4 linked regions of the Drosophila melanogaster genome follow. The protein of the gene in region 3 purifies or fractionates together with the protein of the main gene of each other region. This does not show direct contact. Each region holds a gene or a part of one and is shown on either strand. Other genes may lie near its edges. The genes, in order: CG11857, Agpat3, Kr-h2 and spidey.

What was found.
Region 1: the proteins of Kr-h2 (region 3) and CG11857 purify together in Drosophila melanogaster (affinity purification with mass spectrometry, with the first as the bait; one large-scale study listed by BioGRID). This does not show direct contact.
Region 2: the proteins of Kr-h2 (region 3) and Agpat3 purify together in Drosophila melanogaster (affinity purification with mass spectrometry, with the first as the bait; one large-scale study listed by BioGRID). This does not show direct contact.
Region 4: the proteins of Kr-h2 (region 3) and spidey purify together in Drosophila melanogaster (affinity purification with mass spectrometry, with the first as the bait; one large-scale study listed by BioGRID). This does not show direct contact.

What each region holds. Positions count from the first base shown.
Region 1 is NT_033777.3:25,256,970-25,261,290, forward strand, and holds CG11857 (uncharacterized protein), read left to right. Parts: upstream 1-1,928; 5' UTR 1,929-2,394; coding exon 2,395-2,463; intron 2,464-2,524; coding exon 2,525-3,067; coding exon of another isoform or gene 3,068-3,253; 3' UTR 3,254-3,790; downstream 3,791-4,321. Other genes in the region: Nup358 (nucleoporin 358kD), read left to right, coding at 1-88, 153-1,160, 1,232-1,590; Kdsr (3-ketodihydrosphingosine reductase), read right to left, coding at 4,287-4,321.
Region 2 is NT_037436.4:16,381,268-16,387,813, reverse strand, and holds Agpat3 (1-Acylglycerol-3-phosphate O-acyltransferase 3), read left to right. Parts: upstream 1-2,004; 5' UTR 2,005-2,359; coding exon 2,360-2,386; intron 2,387-3,334; exon of another isoform or gene 3,335-3,647; intron 3,648-3,700; coding exon 3,701-3,887; intron 3,888-3,947; coding exon 3,948-4,483; intron 4,484-4,881; exon of another isoform or gene 4,882-4,982; intron 4,983-5,074; coding exon 5,075-5,432; intron 5,433-5,656; coding exon 5,657-5,742; 3' UTR 5,743-6,042; downstream 6,043-6,546. Other genes in the region: RAF2 (RING-associated factor 2), read right to left, coding at 1-793, 858-1,177.
Region 3 is NT_033779.5:6,069,147-6,074,508, forward strand, and holds Kr-h2 (kruppel homolog 2), read left to right. Parts: upstream 1-1,843; 5' UTR 1,844-2,041; intron 2,042-3,066; exon of another isoform or gene 3,067-3,267; 5' UTR 3,268-3,309; coding exon 3,310-3,530; intron 3,531-3,587; coding exon 3,588-3,837; intron 3,838-3,893; coding exon 3,894-4,027; intron 4,028-4,090; coding exon 4,091-4,316; 3' UTR 4,317-4,815; downstream 4,816-5,362. Other genes in the region: Pfdn1 (prefoldin 1), read left to right, coding at 75-104, 201-343, 413-620; CG9154 (uncharacterized protein), read right to left, coding at 662-1,032, 1,087-1,246, 1,303-1,443. UniProt on the Drosophila melanogaster protein: Member of the dosage-dependent hierarchy effective upon white gene expression.
Region 4 is NC_004354.4:7,906,927-7,912,415, forward strand, and holds spidey (spidey), read left to right. Parts: upstream 1-2,004; 5' UTR 2,005-2,445; coding exon 2,446-2,611; intron 2,612-2,951; coding exon 2,952-2,998; intron 2,999-3,782; coding exon 3,783-3,858; intron 3,859-3,926; coding exon 3,927-4,267; intron 4,268-4,325; coding exon 4,326-4,661; 3' UTR 4,662-4,959; downstream 4,960-5,489. Other genes in the region: dpr14 (defective proboscis extension response 14), read right to left, coding at 1-20, 331-412.

The sequences.
Region 1 (4,321 bases), on a different chromosome or scaffold from region 3:
TTCAAAGGCAGTTCGCTGAGCAGAAATAACTCTTCGGCTTCTGAGGCAAGCAAAACGCCTAGTTCAGCATTCATTTTCGGTAGCACGGGTATGTATAATTCGACGTTGACCTCAAGATAAAAGGATCTAACCGCTTTTTATGTTCACTTCAGATAAATCGGAGCCTGGAAAGGATGCTGGCCCATTAGCTAATCTTCAAAAACTAGCATCAGGCGAAGGACAAGGAAACGTTTTGGGATCTATATTCCGTAGCGGCTCGTCAAACGAAAATTCGTCTGACGGTTCTGTCAAGTTCTTTTTCGGGGGTGGAAATAAAGCGGCTGAGCAACAGAAGAAAGATTCCTCAGAGTCTGTCTTCGGAGGCAATAAAGCGGATTCCCAATCGCCAGCGACCCAAGAAGCACCGAAGTTGGCCTTCGGTGGAATTGCCGCACCTGTGTTCGGAGACGCCAATCCTTTTGGAGGCCACAAAGTTAATTTGCAAAAATCAGATGGCAAGGAAGAACCAAAATCTATCATTGGCGGAACCCCATTGTTATTTGGAGGGTCCAACGCCTTTGGAATACCCAAAATTGAAACCCAGTCACCTGCTAAAGACTTTGTGTTTGGCAGTGCACCCGCTTTTGGACAAATGGCAACCTTCTCATTTACAGCTGCAAAAAATGAAAAGGAAAAGGACATAACCTCGAATAACACCACTGATCTTAAAGCCGAAGGCAAGGAAAAGAAGGAGTTGGTGCCGGAGACGACCAGCACATTTGCCGATTTGGCCAAGACAGGCAGCACGTTTGCAGATTTGGCAAGCAATCCGGGCGGCACTTTTGCGGACTTAGCGAACAAGACGGGCAACGACTTTGCCAACCTGTCGGCCAATAGCCAGGGCACTACCGTGGGATTCAACAAGTCCGCCGGGGGCGGCTTTTATAACCTCACGCATCAGAACGCTTTCAAGAACTTCGAGTCGCCGCAAGCCACAGAAGAGTGCGATGATGACGGCGACGCGACCACTGATGACAACTACGATCCGCACTATGATGCCATTGTAGAGCTGCCGGATGAGATAGTTGTCACCACGGGAGAGGAGAACGAGACTAAGCTGTTTGGCGAGCGGGCGAAGCTTTATCGCTATGACGCCGAATCGAAACAATGGAAGGAGCGAGGTAAGCTGTAGTAATAGTCCCTTTCTTATTCACACTAAAAGTTTTTATAAAACCAAAAAAAAAAAAAAAAGGTGTCGGTGAGATAAAGGTGCTGGAGCACCCGGAGCTGCAGACATTCCGACTGATCATGCGGCAGGAGCAGATCCACAAGCTGGTGCTTAACATGAATATCTCCGCCTCCCTGCAAATGGATTACATGAACGCGCAGATGAAGAGCTTCCTGTGGGCCGGCTACAACTACGCGGTGGACGCAGAGGGTAAAGTTGACACCGAGGGCGTCCTGGAACGCCTTGCCTGTCGATTCGCCAAGGAAGAGATCGCCAGTGAGTTCCTCAACACGGTCAATTCGTGCATAAAACGAGCCAAGGCCTTGCAAGGTGATGAGGAGAACAAGAATGACGACGCGCCGGAGGAGCAGGCGAGCTCATAAGCAAACCGGATCTAAATATATGTAGCATGTCTAGGATTGTGTTAGAATATTCATCCAAAACAGTAGCGACAATGGCTATTTCACATTTTGCTAATAAAATTTCGATAAACATTAATATTACATTTGAAATAAATTTGACTATTGAATAAAGCAATCGATATATTAGAGAGGAGACAAATTCGGACGTACAACCATATAGCACAAGGAAACTGGCTATGTTTTTATATATTAAATGTACCTCTACCTATTTTTAAAATATCGACAGCACTTAGATAAAAAATTAAAACAAACAATTACCTTTCGCGATAATCGCTCAACTCCCGATTGTTCCATCCCCAGCCGATAGTTTGACAGCCCTGCCACTGAGAGAGCATAATGACGTGGTGAACTCTGTGTGAAAAAAGAACAATAAATTGCCGACAAATCTCTAGTGTAATTAAATTAGTTACCGCATAGAAACGCACTAAACTGTGGCCAGAACTTTACGAATCCCGAATACTGTCTATATAGCAATCTCAGGAAACTGACAGTTGAAACAGCCCTACAACAAGGAGGAAGAAGAAGAAGGCGACGACGGGCGGTGCAGAATATGAATTAGAGAATAATTAGCGATTGAAGCGCGTCTAGTTTGCCAGTTGGCCCATTTCGTGTTTTGTTAGCCCCTTTCCGGCAGCCCCTGCCCCCGTCCCGGAAAATTTTGCAATTCCCGAATCGATACACGTGTGCAGCGAGAACAACGACAGCGTCAAAGTCAACAATAAAAGTCGAGGGCCGGAGATTAATGAGAGACTACCGACGACGACCATGATGAACGAGGACAGCAGTGCTGCCGGCGGCGGCGGGGTTAAGAAGTTCTTTCAGCGCCTCTCACAGGTAAGTAATTGTGGATAGCCCGTACGTGCCGGGAACTAACCCGCATCCTTTGCTTCCGCAGACCTACCAATCCGCCTTGGACCGTAGCACACCGCACACACGAATGCGCTGGGTGTTCGCCGGCTTTCTGCTCCTGCTCTTTGTGCTGCGCATCTTCATCTATCAGGGCTGGTACATCGTGTGCTATGCGCTTGGCATTTACCACTTGAACCTGTTTATCGCTTTTTTAACGCCCAAGATCGACCCGGAGTTCGATCCGTATTCGCAGGATGACGAGGACGAGGGACCCAATCTGCCAACTCGCAGCAACGAAGAGTTCCGGCCATTCATTCGCCGCCTGCCGGAGTTCAAGTTCTGGCTGTCGGTGGCGAAGAGCACGCTCATCGGTCTGATTTGTACGTTCTTCGATTTCTTCAACGTGCCGGTATTCTGGCCCATCCTGGTCATGTACTTTATCACGCTCTTCTGCATCACGATGAAGCGCCAGATCAAGCATATGATCAAGTACAAGTACTTGCCGTTTACCCGCAATAAACCGCGCTACCAGCGGGTGAATGATCTGGCGGGTTCCGGACCCGGTTCCGTGGCGGGCAACTCAAAGTGACAATTAGCCGCACAGACGTCGGACACGCGGGCGACGGCAGCGGGATCGGGTGATCCTTCAAATGCCTCTTCTGCAGCTGCAGCGCCACCATCACCAACCAGCGACAGCGCAGCGACCAAGGATGTGGGGTCGCCAACAGCATCGTCCATCAAACCACCGCAGATCATTGCCATTGAGGACTACTAGAGAAAGCTACCGAAAGCAGCCCGGAATGGGAACCAGCAGCATAACATCAACCAGAAACAAGCTTATAATATGATTTTCCTTTTCGGTTTGTGTAGCATTTTTCGTTTCACTGTTGAGTTGTCGTACGGCGTCTTGTGCAAAATACCTTGTTTATTGTTTAATCTAACTGCTTGTTTAAATTTATATTTATTTACAATGCTTTCTATCTATTGTAAATCCCAAACGATACCGAAATACTGCAGATCAGCTCTAATTTAGTTTTTCATCCTAATCCTAACAATAATTTAATAACTCTTCTATCCAAAAAGTAGACTTACTGTATTTGAATCCAATTATTTTTGATTATCGTGCTAAGATGCTATAATAATATGTCTAAATATATATACAAACATATATATATATATATTTTGCATTATGATTATACAATTTTTGTTAGCGTTAACTATACAGAATGTTAAAAAAAGGCGAATTGAAAACTGAAACTATAGGAAGTGTACACTGGGTGCGTCTTATGAATAAAGAAAGACAAAAGAAAACCAAATAATTTATCGTTGAATTTTGAACCATTTGGAAAAGGTTGATGGCTTTTGTGGCGTGGTTTTTGTATTTATCTAATCGCTTCTGCATGTAGTTTGCTGTTCGATTTTAAGATACGAAACCAATTTTGATTAGGCCAATGCGTGAAATTGCTTTAGCGATTAGCACAATCACTAAGTGGTTATTTAAAAACGACTCATTTTCTGAACAGTAAATACATTTTATTTTTGTTAAAACGAAGCACACACCAACAAAACGAGCACACGTCATCTAGTCTAGAAAACACGATACAAATAGTTAAAACCCTAGCACGGCAATAATAAAAAAGTTCAAATGCACATACAAATATATATATAAAAATGAATGATAATACGGGAATTGTAATATATGAATAGGCTAACCATGCAAAACAATCGCACATTTTGATTAATTATAAAAAAGTGATTTAATTATGGGCACTTGGGAATACTTTAAGGGCAGCGGGACAAGAGAGATTTCACTTGGACTCCACTTGCGATGTGGCCTTGGCCT
Region 2 (6,546 bases), on a different chromosome or scaffold from region 3:
TTGCTTGGCGGCAGTAGGCGGAGCCAGGGTATACGGTGTGCTCAGCTTAAAAGCCTGCTGACGCTGAAGAGGATTAGTCGATGGAGTGGTGGGCATTCTTAGATTTAATGGTGGAGCTGCCTCCATTGGCTTCTGTTGCTGCACCGTTGAAAACCCAATTATATTATCATCCTCGACTTCATTGTTGCGCTTCTCTTCGCTAGCGGGCGGTGTTACCGAACGGCGTCTTTTAAGAGTGGCATCAACCACAAGCGACTCTGCCTCATTTGGCGCATCTCGCGACCGGTCCTTTAGAGCCTGTTCCAATTCCCGACACGCTGAGAGTTTACCGTAGTCGAAGACCGGTTCCTGGGGATCCTTCTTTACCAGGAACTCGTCGAGGATAGAGGCACCGTTTTCGTTGTTTCCAAGTGGGTTTGCTTTCTTCCTTTCTGGCAGCTCGTAGTTTAGTTGGGGTGGAGCCGGAAGCGTAGGCTTATTTTCCTTGATGGGCGTAACCCTTGCCGGCTCTTGCTCTGGTTTCTCAGGCGAATCCTCGTTCTCCGTGTCGTCAAGGCAAATGAGTTCCGGCGAACCACTGCCGCTGCGGCTGCGAGAATAGCTACGACTACGACTGCGACTGCAACTTCGGCTAAGACTGCGGCTGTGGCTGCGACTACGACTGATGCTCCTGCTGTCGTAGGTTCTGCGCTGCCTGTCATGGAAGCGAACCAGGTGCTTCAATTTACGCTTGGGCAGCAAGTCCTTCAGGCCGTCAAAATAGCTGTTGTAGTCCATTTTATTGGGTCGCAGCCTGAAGTGTGATCGGATAAGATAGGATTACAGTTTCAGTAGGTTCTTTGGGAAGTAAGCCTTACCAACGAATACTGCGACGCTTGAAGTAAAGATTGGGCAGCCTGCCACGCTGTAACTGCAATTGCCGGATCCGCCGAATTGTTTCTGAGCGCGTGGAAGGTGGCACCGCATCGTCATCTGGCTTTTCATTTTTCTCAGTGGCAGCCGCCGATTCTGGAGCTCCATTTCCGGGTTTCTCGGACTCGGATCCCTTGGATTTTGTCTTTTGGGGTCGTTGCTTGCTCACCGCCGCGTCCATTAGAGCGTCGTATTCCTCCTCCTCGTGGCTATACTCGTCGCTACTTAGCTGCGAATTGGAGGAGTCGTAGATCTCGTTGGACATTAGGCCTGCAACTGGACGACGGTCAGGTATGTACATCTTTTGGCATTAACCCCCTCAAAAACTCACGCGCTCACGTCTGCAAATTTTTGGCCAACAAAAAATCGTCTGCCGGTTGAATATTCTAATCCGCCGACGGGCTCACCTTTTCAGTTGCTGAAAACCACTTAAAACAATGGCCCAAGTCCCCAAATAGGCTAATTCGGGTTTATACCAGTTTTAAAGCGTTTACTTTCAGCAAAAATCCAATTTCCAAATGCGAAAAAAAATTCGCCGTTCAATTCTGCGAATAATTTTGACAGGCATTTAGTATGGACGCAAACCAATAGGGTAACCACTTTTGGGAAAGTCTTTAAATAATACTGAATAAAATATGTTCTTCCAACTAGTTCTTAGTTAGGTAAACCAAGCAAACAAATTTTTAATCTTATTAAATTAAAGTAATCTAGTAATCTTATTAAATATTACTAGTTTCGGGGTATTCGGTCATTTCATATCTAAAAACCAAATAACTATATTAGAATAAGTTACTCACTAGAGTTTCATTTTTTGATTTATGGAAAAGTTAGCGTAGATCAAAAATCAATCATTAATAAGCTATAAGTTGTAGTGCAGATCGTTAGCCAAATTATTCAGATTTCCTTTACAACATTGCAACCTGACAGCCCTGGTGGCAAATATTAAATATTGAAAAATACTAAAGGCAAAAGTGGCGATTTTCCGTTTGTTCACCGGTGTCATCGTCATTGCACTCGAACGGTCATACCGTTTGGCTTACAAAAGAAAACAAATCAATTCGCACAAAAACATTGCCAAAAAGGTAAATGGCGGGCACGACGCCGCCGAGTGATAACCATATAGTAGTGACCAGTGTTTAGCAACCGATTCCCGCCCAGTGACACTCGTAAACAAAGGGCACGACCGACAGTGTCTGTATATATATGTGCATATGCGTAACAGGGAATAACCGATAAGAACGGCGCAGCTGCAGATAGACATACCTTTAAATAGGACTTTGTTTATTGATCGTTTGTGGGTGGCTATTGCCTTGCAGATCGCGAACTGATAACCATAAATGTTAACCACGTCACGCCACCCCACGCCTCTCCCAAACACACACACTCGCACACGTGCGCCAGCTGAGCACATGCATACGTATATGCATGCTCACACGCACACAATCGCATGGTCGTGCACAAGAACTCTTTTGTTGTATGTAAAGTGGACGATCGAAAAAGTAAACTAATTCAATACAATGGGTTCAGCAATCAACGTCGGGGTCACCAATTGAGTGCATCAAAAATACAATCAATTCGGCCCGGCGAATTTTCGGTTGATTCAGCTAATGGCGGTGTGCATAAGAAATGGCATGAAAAGTACTCCTTTTTTCATTGGATTTAAATCCCATTATCATAGGAAGAAATAAGAAATTTAAAAAAAGCAGTGCTTGTCAACTGAATGCATTCATTTCTATTACAAAAACGTAGTGCGTTCCATTGTGCATGTAAATATATGCAGTCCCAGTTTTATATTACGTGTCAAAACAAAAGATTGACCTTTATCATTGGTCGTTTTACAACCATTGTTTATAACTTTGTAGAAATACAAATAAAAACTTCTTTGATAAACTTTATCCGCTGACATGTTTTAAATCATAATTTAAGTAAATCATGATCATTTAAATAATAATCTCAATATATAATACCTATTACTTTAGTTTATTTAAAATCCGAAAATCGTTTCGAAACTTATTTAAATTTGCTTAAATTGAAATATCTAAAATATCCGAAGCCAAGTATTATTTAATAAGAAATATGAATAGCTAAACGCCTTAATGAAATGATTTAATTAGTTTAAAGTTTTAAAGTTGTCGTTTTTACTCATAATTAAAACGGTCGTAAAACTTTAGTACTTTTTTAAAACATCTCCATGTACAAAATGTAAAAAATGACACCTAACTGTCATCAATTTTTTGCTAAACTGTTTGCACACTTTGGTCCCCATAAACCCACTCATTCTAAAGATTATTGACTTTCGCGAGCTTCCACTGTGAAGTGCGAGTATCTGCCCCATAATGACTATCCGTCGGACAGGCGGACTTTGTCCACAGCGGCTGTAGCTATTTCCAACGGAGAAGTCATCGATTGGCCAAGGCTGATTAGATTCCTCCTCCGGCAGCGGCCTTAGCAAAAGCTATAGCCTATAGGGCTATGGGCTATAGCTCCCGCTGATATCTGGCGAATATCTCTGCCGTGCGGCGGTTGCCCCAGTCCATTGCCAGCTGGTGGTGCAGGTGGTTGCCTTCCCGGATTTCACGATTTCTTTTAACTTGGCCGCGTGCTTTTAATTGAAGAAAACGCAGCTCTTGTGTGAGTGCGGGACCTTGTGTAGTGGTCATAAACTAGGTGTTCCACCGTTGGGACCATAAAGTGCGGGTTTACGAGCACTACCGGGAGAACAACCTACAATTAAAGTAGTGATTACGTAAAGACAGCCGTTTTATTGGTTAAACATCGCTATTTGCAGATCAAAATGGGTTCCCTGGAGAAGCTGAAACAATTGAGACTGATACACCTGTGCATCGCGCTCACCTTCTTTACCAGCGGGCTGTGCATCAACTTTATCCAGCTGCTGATGCACGTCTTTATCAAGCCCATAGACAAGCGACTCTTCCGCAAGTTGATGTACTATGCCTGCTATTCGCTTTACTCCCGTGAGTATATCCTGACCAGTTCCGATTCGAAGTAGAAACATAATACCTCCAATCCCTTAGAACTTATCTTCGTGTCCGATTGGTATGCCGGCAGCAAGATGACTGTCTACATGGACAAGGAGGACTTCGAGAAGCATGCCGGCAAGGAACACGTCCTTCTGATCATGAACCATAAATACGAGATCGATTGGCTCAACGGCTGGATGATCTGCGAAAAGTTGGGCGTGCTGGGCAACTGCAAGGCCTATGCGAAGAAGGCAATCCGCTACGTGCCCATCATCGGCTGGGGCTGGTGGCTGGCCGAGTTCGTCTTCCTCAATCGAAACTTCGACCAGGACAAGACCATCATCACCGAACAGCTCAAGGTGGTCTTCTCCTATCCCGATCCCACCTGGCTTTTGCTCAACGCCGAGGGCACTCGCTTCACTCCCGCCAAGCACGAGGCATCCGTAAAATTCGCCCAGGAGAGGGGCATGACGGTGCTGAAGCACCATTTGATCCCGCGCACCAAGGGATTCACCGCCAGCTTGGCACCCATCCGCGGTCTCTGTCCGGTAATCTACGACATTAATCTAGCGTACAGGCCCACAGATAAGGTAATTATAACGGCAAACTTCAAGCACTTCATTTAAGTGCTTTAGTTATATAATACTGTATTTTATTGTGCCATACATTTAATGCAGAATTCTGCATGGCAAAGCTTCTCATGTATATTTTTGATAAGGCTAATCAGCCTGTTCGACAATACCTGTCTGATTGCTTTGGTCTAATCAAATTTCTTTTCGTTTAATCCGATTATTTTGCTCATTTACTTCACTGCCTCTTTTAAGAGTCACGATTTCTTAAGATCGATGCTCTTAAAGATACCGATTAGAATGAGCAAACATTTCAAGGTTAATCAAGTGGTAATTTTTATAACTTATTTTCCTTATTTTGGTTTATTTTCCTTACCTTTGACGTGTCATCAGTATTATTAGCACTTTAGCCAGCATAGCAACCTTAATTTTTTAACTGAGTAATTTGGCGTTCTAATGATAAGTGCATAGAATTTAGCAAATTGCAAATTTATTATGGTTTTAAATTAAACTCGCAGAAGTGAGTTATAAAAGATGCTTATAAAGATACTACAGTTTTAGCTACTAAAAGGCTATTTACCGGACTTAATTAACTTGCAATTGAACTTTCAGACCCCCGCCACAATGCTGAGTTTGCTGCATGGAAAGAGCGTGGAACCGCACCTGCTGATGAGGCGTATTCCACTGGAACAGGTTCCGGAGGATGAGAAGGAGGCGGCCGCCTGGCTGCAGAACCTGTTCGTGGAGAAGGACAAGATCATCGATAGCTTCCTGGAGACGGGCAGCTTCTTTAAGACGTCCGGCATAAAGGAGGTTCCGGCATATGTGAATAAACGCCGGCTGTGCTCACTCGTGAACTTTGTCTGCTGGGCGGTATTCTCTCTGTCCTGCATTTTCTACTACGTGATCACATCCCTGCTGGCGGCCAACTGGACGGCCTTTATCACCGCACTTTCCGTCCTGGGACTTTGTAAGTTTGGGGTTCGATCTTTAAGGAGGATGGCACTTTAGACGGCATTAGCCGTTCATTCTTTAAGTTTTAAGAACTTTTTGGAGTGTTAAATGCTAAAGTTCATATATAATGACGTCTGCATGGTTATAACAATAATATAAGCCGCGTTCTAATGTGTTCCTACTCCCTCCAAAACCTTAACTTTTGTAAATCTTATTAATATTCTTTTTTTCTTGTTACAGTTTACTGGCTCATGGGTCAGGCCATCAACAAGACGCAGATCAGCAAGGCATCTAATTATGGATCCTCCAAGTCGGTCGCAAAGTAACTTTCGAATTCGCATTTAGTTTCGATTGTCGTCGAACTCAATTATCTACAAATGACTTTGTAAAAGGCAGTCCTCTCACAAATCTCTCTGCTAAATGGATCAATTCGTGATTCCTATCCGGACGATTTAAAGTGTTTTGCATGTTTTTCTTGTCTAAGTTTATAGTTACGAAGTAACTCCCGCACACTGGAGCCATCAATTTGCGTACGTAGTTGGTAGTTGTACACCTAAGTGGAAATTTAATTGTTTGATCAATTGTATTTTGGCGAGCATTGCAATAATTAAATTAAACAGAACGTGAGAGCGTGAGTTTGTTGTTGTTGTTTTTTGATAAGGCGTAAGGTAAGCAGTGCGCTGATAAGGGCTGCTGATAAGTGTGGACATGCAAGCAGTGCACCTAAAGAGTGACCTTAACACAAAATACCAACAGTATTTCTAAACTGGATACTTGAAAATTACACACATACGTGTGTAAAATAAATGTAAAATTTCGAATACATTGTTTTTGAGATTCCCAGAAATGCTTTCAAAAGTTACCTTTTGAACAGGAAGGAAATGAGCAATAAGCAAAGCATATTATCCAAATATTTGTGTTTATCAGCATTCTTCCTACACGTTCGTTTCTTTATCAGTTGTAACGATCAGAAGCAGCACACGTTCCGTTAGTTCGACTGCTTGCCCTTGGCTATATGATCAATACAACCACACGCCAAGCATAAAATCGCCTTTATTCGCCGATAAGCAGTGTCGCCCATTCCAATTGACTGATAACAGGTGATTAAAAGTGTTAGTTGTGGGTTTCTG
Region 3 (5,362 bases):
AATTTTCAGTGAATTCGCAGCAAAGCCAAGCAATTTGCATTCAATCATCTGTGAAGGAAAAGCTATCACACAAAATGGCACAAATGGACATCGAATTGAAGAAGGTGAGCGGAAGGCAAGTTGCCAAAAAGGCCGACTGCCGACGGAGAGCGCGTGCTCTTCCAAAGAACTTAGTCATAGACGATTCCTTTTGCACGCAGGCCTTCACCGAGATGCAGATCAATAAGCTGGAGACGACCAAGAAGATCCACATGATCGACATGAAGTGCGACATGGTCAAGACAGGCAAACAAAAGTACCAGCTGACAGAAAAGGGCACCAGCAGCTTGGCCGACGACACAAGGTACATAACTAGAATCACAATTAATCATCTCCAGGTGTTCAGGTGGCTAATTGAACTGTTTCCCTATAGAGTTTACCAGTCCGTGGGTCGCATGTTCCTGCTTACCGATGTACAGAATATGCGCGAGGACCTGAAGGCTAGGCAGGAGAAATGCGACAAAGCGATAGAACTGCTGGAGAAGAAGAAGGAGTTCTTGCAGAAGTCCCTTAAGAGCCAGGAAGACGGTCTGCGCGAGTTGGTGCAGCAGCGCAAGGAAGCCGATCAGACTGCGAAATAGACTACAACTCCAAACTGGCATTTATCCCTCAACGCAATTGCTTATTTATTTTCAATATACTCGTCTAAATTGAAGTTGGCGTAGCTGACAAACTTGTTGCCCAGATTGCGTTCGTGTTCCGGGCGGAAGCTGCACTTGAGGACGGGCAGGCGAGCGGTTAGCCAGGGCTCCACCACCTCACCGGAGCACAGGATTACCTTGCTCTCCTTCTGGTTTCGTTGCAGCCTAGTGATTATTTCACACGTTTTGGCGATGCACTCCTGGGACAGGAAGGGCGGGTCGGCCACGATGAGGTCATATTGCTGGTGGTGCTCTTTGAGGTAGTCCGGGTTGCTCCCTACGCAGTTCAAGTCGTAGTGCACAAAATCTGTGCCATAGGCCTCGAAACGCTTGTCGAACTCGAATATGTGCACTACAAGATAGAATGATGACAATTCATTCATAATCGTTTCACATGTCCACTTACCTGTGTCATGTATCTCCCTGATGTCCTTGTAGAGCGATGGGCAGGAGAGCAGTGCTATACTAAAGTCACCCGAATCCTCCGTGCGCTCCGCCAGAAGCTTACGCACAACATCACGCAATGCGTGCTTGGTTTCCGTGCTGTACCAGAACTGACTCAATTGCTGCAAGCGAAGAGAGTTTCACCATAAGTTTCTAAGGTATGTGCAGGTGCTCTTGCCCAATCCTCCTCGAACTGGGCATCCTTGCCGGTCTTGTTGGCGATTTGATTCTCCTCCTCGGCTTCGCGTTTTGATCTCTCCAACAGAAATTCGTTTAAAATGGCCAAAGTGTCGGCGGGCAGCGAGATGTCGTCGTCCATAATTAATTATTTGCCACTAAATGAATCTTAGAGCATTCAAATCAAAATAAACCAAAATGTGCGTTTGAAGATTAGAGGTGCGAAATTAGCGATACAAATGAGAACTTATTGGGGGGATTCCAGGCCTTGGCGCTGTTTTCAAATTGTAAATTATTAGAAACTTAGGCCAACTGCGATATTGAAATTATACTTTCAAAATAATATGCACTTTAACCGTATGCAAATCGATTACCAATTTTAATTTATTTTAAGTTATTTTATTAATACAACTAGCTCCAGAAACCTGTATCGTAACTTTTATTTGACAACACATTTTCAAACTGTACTGAATATTTAGGCGTTTAATCGACAACTAAAACAGCAACTTTCAAGTACGTGGTCTTTAAATTTCGTAAGATCGAGAAAGCAGTGCGATACAAATCGGTGGCAGCCCTGTGTCAGTTCGTTTTTATCGAACTAGATCAACTTTGCCCGTCCATCTCTAGTTCGCACGGGAGCCCCGACCAAACTGATACGTATTAATTTACGAGAAAAACTTGCGTTTAATTCGAAGTCACATCATATCGCAGGCTGGAACGTACCTGCTGCTAAGTAAGAGGTAAGTGAATGGCCAACGTGAATTAGGAAAAATCAGTGCCTTGCCGGAAACGAAATCCATGTGATTAAAGGCTAACTTTCTTCGCTTGACGTCGTTCCCAAATCGGATAAAAGTGTGCTGCTGGCCCAGTAATTACACTGGTGAATTATGCAGGTCGGCATTTGGACTCGCTCCGCGACTTCCGTGCGGGGGAGGAAGCATCCAATCCCCAAGCGCAACCGTTTCGAATTTCTACAGCGCGGCGCGAAGAGCCCTGCACTTTGATTTCGTTGCCGTTCATTGTGGAGTTCAGTCGGGTCAATCAGCCTCAATTTGCGAGACTTACCTTCTGAATCTCTGACGTGTACCTACCAACCAAACTGTCCACTATGTGACATCATATAATTGGGCTTCCGACTCCGGACTATTGCATGAATAATGTGCGCGCGGGTTGACAGGTGCTACCTTAAATTGACTAGGTGACCCACTTCCGTTGAAGGACCCTCCGTCCACAGATCCCAATCGATACGGCTGCCCCACTGCCAGTCTCATTACTCGACATGTAAATCGAAAGTACACGTAGGATGGACCCCCTCGGTTGGGTTTACTTAATCGCTCAGACCAGCCCACTCCCCCTCCCATGTTTCACCTGTTGCCACCTGTTTGTGTTTCAATATTTTGACGTGTATTTCGTAACAACATGCACATTGTGCGCTGTCTTGCAGTTTTCTCTTCGAGCTTCGTAACGAAATCTTTGCGTTTAGTGCGCTAGGCATCATAAACCGCATACTCGAGAAATATAATTGCCAAACCGTAAGAGTACATGATACTTTAGCGATGGCTTGGCTGTTTTCTTTTTTTGGTTGCCTCATGCAAAGCACTGTCCGTAATGGTGGGCAAGTCATCTTGGCTAAAGCGAACATTAACACGACTTTTGGGCCAGCCCGTTCTCGTTTTAAGTGCGTTTGCCAGCCACTTTCCATTTGACTGGTTTAACAGTTGGCCCTGACTTTCAATTAAGACGTAAAGCGCTTGGCACTGAGAAGCGTAGTGCAGTCTAATCCTGGAGTCATAGAGGGCAGATCTTGCGGGCTATTCATTAGGTTGGAACCCTCACACATCAGATAGCGCCGCAGTTACTTAGCCAAGGTTCTCTTATCGCTGCCTATGCCTAAGATAGCAGCCAAATTCCCGCCGATAAGGCCGAAAGTAGAAACCTTATACTGATTTTCATAACTGCCTTGCAGACTGAATACTGAACGGAAAGCGAGCACGAAAGCTACTTCATCATGAGCGCACCCACCGACCAACCACCGCGCTCCGAGGGCGCTCAGACCAACAGCTCCGAGAGATCCTCACAGCAGCAGGAGCAACCGCAGCAATCTCAATCACAGAACGTACCGGCCAAGCTCCTGCAGCATTTTCAGACAAATCGCATAGATTCCGCGCTATGGGCACTACGTCTGCTGGTCATCTTCTTCACCGTCAGCTACGTGCTGCCCATCTTTACGTGAGTACACGCGTTTTCCACATTGACCTACTCTAATTTTCACTTACTTCTCCACAGCTCACAACAGAGCGCATTCAGCAAGGTTATGCTGGCTAATGCCGCCATCTCTGCCTTGCGTTTGCACCAGAGATTGCCCGCGTTCGCGTTCAGTCGGGAGTTCCTTGCTCGACTGTTTGCCGAGGACTCGTGTCATTACATGATGTACTCCCTGATCTTCTTCAACATCCGCCCATCGCTGCTGGTTCTGATTCCCGTGCTGCTGTACTCAGTTCTGCACGCCTCAAGCTACTCGCTTAAGCTGCTGGATGTAAGGAAAGCAATATTTCACATTTGGCACTTGTCTAATAAGAAATGTACTTACAGCTGATTGGCCAGAACTCGTGGTGGGGTGCCCGTTTCATCATCTCCATTGTAGAGTTTCAGGCGGCGAATATCCTGAAGGCAACTGCATTCTGCGAGATCTTCATCATGCCTTACGCCATTGTGCTGGCCTTCATGTGAGTTTTAACACATATCTTTCGAGGGGAATGCACTCCAATGCAGAATACTTTCAATTTTAGGAACCACGCTGGATTGATGACGCCCGTTATTTACTACCACTATCTGGTGATGCGCTACAGCTCGCGACGAAATCCCTATCCGCGCAACGCTTTCGCTGAGCTGCGTATAACCTTCGAGGCGCTGGCCGCCCGCTCACCGCCCGCCTTTGCCAAGATCATCCGTGGAGGCATTGGGTTCGTCAACCGCTTGGCGCCGCAGCTACAGCCGGCTGCAGCGCAAGAGTAGACACGACAAGCAGCTAACGGAAAACAACAATCAAATGACATATGAATAAGGCTATTTAAATACCAGTTCACTTGCATAGATGTTCACACAGGAGATTGGGGTTCATCCGTTTTATTTGTTAGCCGAAATTCGTTGCACCTTTTCGAAGCGAAACTAGTTGTTTTACACCAGATTGTTTCGGCATTTAAGTTTAAATTTATCTATATATTATTGTAGTTTTTTTTGAGTACATCATCATGCTTTTTTCAACAACACACAATGTGGCAACGCACGAATTCCGCCATGGAGGATCAACGGCGCGTATTACTATATTTATATCCCAAAAACAAATTATTTCAATTTGTTTTGCTTTAACTTATATGTTCAAAATACTGATCAAACGAAAAACATGGACAGCTAACGCTGTTAGTAATTATTTACATATATTTTGTATGAGTGTGTAAAGATTCGAAGAACCAAACAAAGTAAAGTAAAGTTAAATAAAACATTTTGAGAAGGTACTAGAATTTGGACTACAATTTTTTCTGGTTGATTGGCTTTAAATCTTCTGCTACTGTATTAAGTGGTTTGCACTTAACTTGTTTCTTCTCAAGCCAATTAAAAAATGATATCAATCGTAATAATTTTCGTATCATCCTTAAAGTATGCAATACCTTAATTTCTCCACTTTTGGTCAGCGGGCTCAAACAGGTGAATGGAAGCGTTCCCCAACATACTCCAGATCAGGATCACTAGTCGATTTGGCCATGTTCCAGTCGGACACGAATAGTAGCAATCTAAGCACTTTTGTACAGCGCCGAAGCATCAACCCACAACGAAACTAATGAAATGATTTCTGGGTGTGAGGCTAGGGCGTTGGTAGCTTGTCGTTGGCTCTGGACTTCTTCCGAATTTCCACCAAGTTCAATGAACTTCTTGCGCAGCGCCAAAAAAAAAAAATGTTCGTCCAAATGAGGGTGAAGGCACCCGAGCTTTGTTGTGTTGTGTAGGTGAAACGACTCACTTTCGTTCTCAGTGCCGGGAAAACTTTGGGGCAGGGGCTTTTC
Region 4 (5,489 bases), on a different chromosome or scaffold from region 3:
GCCAGCTCGCGGTCGTTTCACTAGTTCGAAAAAAAACAATTTCAATAGATATAGTTAAAATATATATGAAAATCATATAATATATAAAAATAAAATGCACTCAGCTAAAATCACGTATAAAAGAAAAACTCAAATAAAACAATAATTTCGTTTCGAATAATGCTTGCACACTAAGTAGTAAAATAATTGTTTTACATAAAAAAAAATAATCATTTTTCACTTGGGTAATCCGCAAAGTAAACAAAAGAACTTAATCTTCAGCTTAAAAGTGCCAAAGTTTGAGTTGGGTAAAAGTTTGCAATGTGATTAAGGCATGAGGTGGAGACTCACATGTGGTCGACGTGGAACCCGAGCCGATGTGATGGAGTGAGGAGTATATAATCGCCAGTATCCAAAACAGCCTCGATCTCATCACTGCAGCGGAGTGTCTTCATATGCCGACTTACGGGATACGGTAACAGGATGCGGGATGATGCATCGACTGGCGCCACTCGCCGCAGGATATGCACATATGAACGAACGCCCCTCTAAACTGTTCTATATCGATCCAAGTCCAACTGCATCAGCGTCCCACTGCATCGCCAGCGATGATTCCACGGACTTCACTTCGCTTCGCTTATCGATTGCCCTGCGGCAAAATATTGCTGGACATATTGCACTCAAGTATCTTCTTTTTCAGAGTGTCCTTTTCGATTATATATGTATATTTACTTTTTCTTTTTCTCTTTTTTGTTGATTTCTTTGCACACTTTTCAGCGCGCGGATGGAGGCTGGAGGGATAGGAATGTCGGACAATTGGAAAATCGGAAAAGCGCTTATTAACCAGCTCGTGTTGCGTGTGTATTTATCCTTTTGCAACTGCTGCTCGGATGGCCAATAAACGGGAATGTAGGTCAGGGCATGCTCTGCGCATGGCCAGCATCCGCATCCCTATTATTTCATCCGAAGGAATCCCTCTACCCGAGCAACAACAACAAATAGCAGACGCCACTCACCTCTCAAGCTCAAAATAATGCAATCTTCAAGATTGTTTTAAAAAGAAAAAGACTTTTCTTTTCTTCTTTTGTTTGCATTTGTCCAGGAAAAAAGCTCTTTTCGGCGGATGGTTCTGATAAATATTTAACAATATAAAAGTTGCTTTTGCCGGTCCTTCGGCGTTGTTGTTCCCTCACCCACACTTGCTTCGGCACTGAATCCGCTCCGAAAGGCCAGCATCTCTCTCGGCATTCTTGCAATCCAGGGATTTCTACCCACCAAACAAGGTCCTTTGAATCCGTATAGCTCGGCATGCAAATAAATCGGGCGATTGAGCTCAGAAATACCTGTATTTTACTAATTGTTAAGAGCCTAGAGTAAAAATACAGATAAACTACCATTCTTTTACTGTCAAATTAAGCTTCAAATTCGAAATTCGATAAGTAACCGATATTTATCGATAGGCAAAGGATTACCCTCGCACATACGCGATCCGCTATAGCCATCTCGCTCCATCAATAATTTACCGTTAATATAGCGGGCTTTACTCAGAAACATCAAAAATATTTAACGACTTTAATTGTAGCATTCGCTGCGTTAAATTGTTTATCGCACTTTCTGCTTCCTGCGCATGTGCAGGAAATTAGTCAGACTATTTCGGTGATTGCCCCATTCTGGCGTGTATTGGTGAGAGCATAGAACTTACACTGCCCTCCTATGATATACATATGCATGCTTTTTTCGCTTTTAAATAAACTAATTAATAGACTAGTAAAAGAAGGATATACGGTAATGAACCTGTGAACCCTTAGGCGGAAAACTATTGCTGAATTTACATTTCATCCCTCTTTTAAAATCAGCTAGTGCAACATAACGGTTCTTGGTGTGATAAATTTTTGCGCTCACTGTTTGCAGCCGCCCTTATCTTTCGCTTTTTGGTGGTGTGCGTGAGCGCTATGAAATGACATAAGTGGGCACACAACACAGACACACACCCCTCTGAGGGGGGCACATGGATACGAAAAAGAACCGTTCATTTGCTTTTGTGCCGTTGACAATTGACATTCAATCGCTTTTTCCATTTGTTTTTATTTTCCCCCTTCTACCCTAAGTTTCTCCTTTCAAAGAAAACGCATTTGGAATACAAATCAGGCAAAAAACACGCGTACATAAATCGAGTAATCGAAAATCAGTGGCGATTTCGAAGGGTGTGTGTGTGTGTAGAATTACTACAACACACCACAAATACAGTTCGAAAAGGCAGCGCAGTCGGCAGAGGCGAAAAAAAAGCAGCGGCGTCAGCATTTCCATTTCGGCATTGCAGCTCGAAAATCGTAGAATCAGAAACTAATCAGCCGGCAGAGGCTATAGCAGTCGACCGATCGCAATCGCACCATATAGTACATACAATAGGTACCATTGCCTAGGAGTACCAGGAACCAGGAACCACTAATCTCCATCATCAACATCATGGAGGAGAACAACTCGCAAGTGCTGAGCCTGCTGGGCGGTCTGGCCATCGGAATCGTGGGCTTCCAGGTCTTCCGGAAGGTCCTGCCCTGGATTTACGCCAATGTTGTTGGCCCCAAGGTCTTTGGCTCCTCGGTGGATCTCTCCAAAATGGGCGAGTGGGCAGGTGAGTCGGTTGCCATGGAAAAACATGCCGGAAAGGAGCGGAAACGGGGTCGATTCCGAGTGCACAGTGAAAAAATGAATAGCAAGTTTGCTAAAGAAGTGTAGTTAAAAAGATTAAAGACCCTTTTACAATTAAATTGTGAAGAAAGGGAATTTCCAAATTGCAAACACTCTACTTTCAAGTTTTCCAATTTTGCATTAACTGCCTAAAGGAATACACTATATATCTTTCCAAAATGGAGTTCAGTACTTTTTTCACTGTGACCGATAAGATCGTTCCCCACGCCCCATAAATCCACTGATAACCCACAGAACTATTGGCTAACTTTTTCGACTTTCAGTTGTCACCGGGTCGACCGATGGAATTGGCAAGGCCTACGCCAAGGAGGTATGTACACAAAGATGACATGGAAGGGCTGCCCCAATCTTGACCAGCGCAAGCAAAGTCCGTCCAAGCTCGACCGATGATTATAGTAAAATGGGAAACGGGTCAAGCAAACAAACAAACAAAAAACGATAGTAATAATGAGCAATTAGTAATTACTAATTACCGAATTGAGTGTCGCCCACGATGACTTGGACATTGGTTTAGCGGTCGCCAATGCATTAGCCAAGTGAATCTGCACTTTGAAATCGATCTTCAGTCAACAGTCCAGTCGCAAACAGTCCCTAATAGTGTTTGCTTGACTGCAAATCGCTACATTTGTACTTTTCGTTATTTATTTTTACAAAGTGCAATCGCAGTTGATTTTTCTACCTTTTGTGGTAATTTTTTTTTTTTTTTGCCAGTTTTATTTTGTAATACACAGACTTGGAGCAAACGAAGCTAGAAGCTATAGGGAACACGTGTCCCCTGAATGGCAATTACTTTATAGAGTGGAGCACAGGGCCCCGATCGAAGCTTGTGCCAAATTAGCATTCGGCGTGCGTCGAACGCACAGAAAATGGTTCAATGTTCACACCCAATTTCTATTCATATACACGCTTAGTACACTTAAATGACTTCCTGTTCTTAAAATCTACGGGTTACTCGTCTTTGAAACTCCTGCTTTAGGTAGAAACGTTCAGTGTTCCCATTCCAAAGCACCATTGCTTTTTATCTCTGACCTAAGAATTTACTATCCAAAAGTACGTAAATATGAGCAGGCTAATAAATATTTAATCACTTTCAGTTGGCTCGCAGGGGCTTGAAACTGGTGCTGATTAGTAGATCCCTGGAGAAACTGAATGTGGTGGCCAAGGAGATAGGTAAGTCTGCTCACTAAAATACAGTTAACAACTTCAACTAACAACTGCTCTTTGCGGTCTACTTTCAGGCGATAAATACGGTGTGGAGGTGCGTGTGATCGATGTGGACTTCACCGGCGGTGACGAGATCTACGATAAGATCCGCGAAAAGACCACTGGCCTCAATGTCGGAGTGCTGGTCAACAACGTGGGCATCAGCTACGGCCATCCCGAGTACTTTCTGGACTGCTACAAAGCCGATCCCCCATTCCTGCGCAACATTGTGGCTGCCAATATCCACTCGGTGACGCACATGACCGCACTTTTTCTACCCGGCATGATTAGCCAGCGACGTGGTGTGATCATAAATGTATCGTCCACCGCCGGAGTCATTCCTAATCCGCTGCTGAGCGTGTACAGTTCCACCAAGGTGAGTGGATATCATCAGAAGTGATAGAAGGCTAATTACTAATACCTATAATTTGCAGGCCTTTGTGAACAAATTCAGTGATGACCTGCAGACGGAGTACAAGGAGCACGGCATCCTCATCCAGAGCGTCCAGCCGGGCTTTGTGGCCACAAATATGTCTAAGATCCGAAAGGCTAGCGTGTTTGCTCCCTCGCCGGAAACGTATGTCCGCTCGGCGCTGTCCACCCTGGGCATTGCCACCCAGACGGCGGGCTATCTGCCGCATGCTCTACTCCAGCTGGTCATCCACTTCACGGAGGCGGTGTTCGGCGAACAGTTCGCACGCAACATCGTTATGAAGAACATCCTGGGCACCCGGAAACGTGCCCTGCGCCGCCTGGCCAAGGAACAGTAGATTATTGAGGATGAATACGGCGGAGGAGGCATTTAATGGGAATCGGTTGGGATGATGAGTGGGTCAGTTGGGTTGTGGGGAAAATCCGGCTAGTCAAATAGCTTACGTAATTACCGCGTGTCATACGAATCCACAAACAGATAGCTTGAAATACCAAAAAAAAAAACATTTTTCCGAAATAAACTAAGTTTAGTTAGTTTTTGTCATTAATTAGCATTGAAGATTCGCAAACAGCCATGTCATGTAAACAATAAAAAATGTGTTACTAGATATATGTATATATCTAGTTTCCAATGATAAATAACGCCTTTTATTTGCAGTCCTTTATTTTGTATTTAACTTCTTATTTGTTCTTGCTAGCGATTTTTCTTTTTCCCTATGATTTTTCATGTTTTTCGGATCCAATTTGAATTTGAATTGGATGTGTCGATAACGGCAATAGCTATCGATTGGTCATCGATAGGCGCGCCCTTCGGCTAATCGGCGAGATGGGAATGACAGAAAGAGATACAACACTTCGCGCAGGGCGAAGAAGCAAAGCAAAGGGCAAAATTCATAAACATAACAGTAAAGATAGTGTATAGCCGGGCGTGAAATGTAATGAATCGGATTCATGACGTGACGTGTTATCAGGGCCAGCCCAATCCCAACTGCGCAGCAGCAGCGACAGCAACAACAATAACAACAACACATCAAGCTGAATCGAAGGAGCGTGTAATCAGTAATCAGAGTCGCTTGTTTTGATTTCCTTTCCTCGGAAACGAATCAACACGAAACGAGACGAGACGATTCGAAACGAAATGAAATCAAAACTCCGCTCCGGATAAA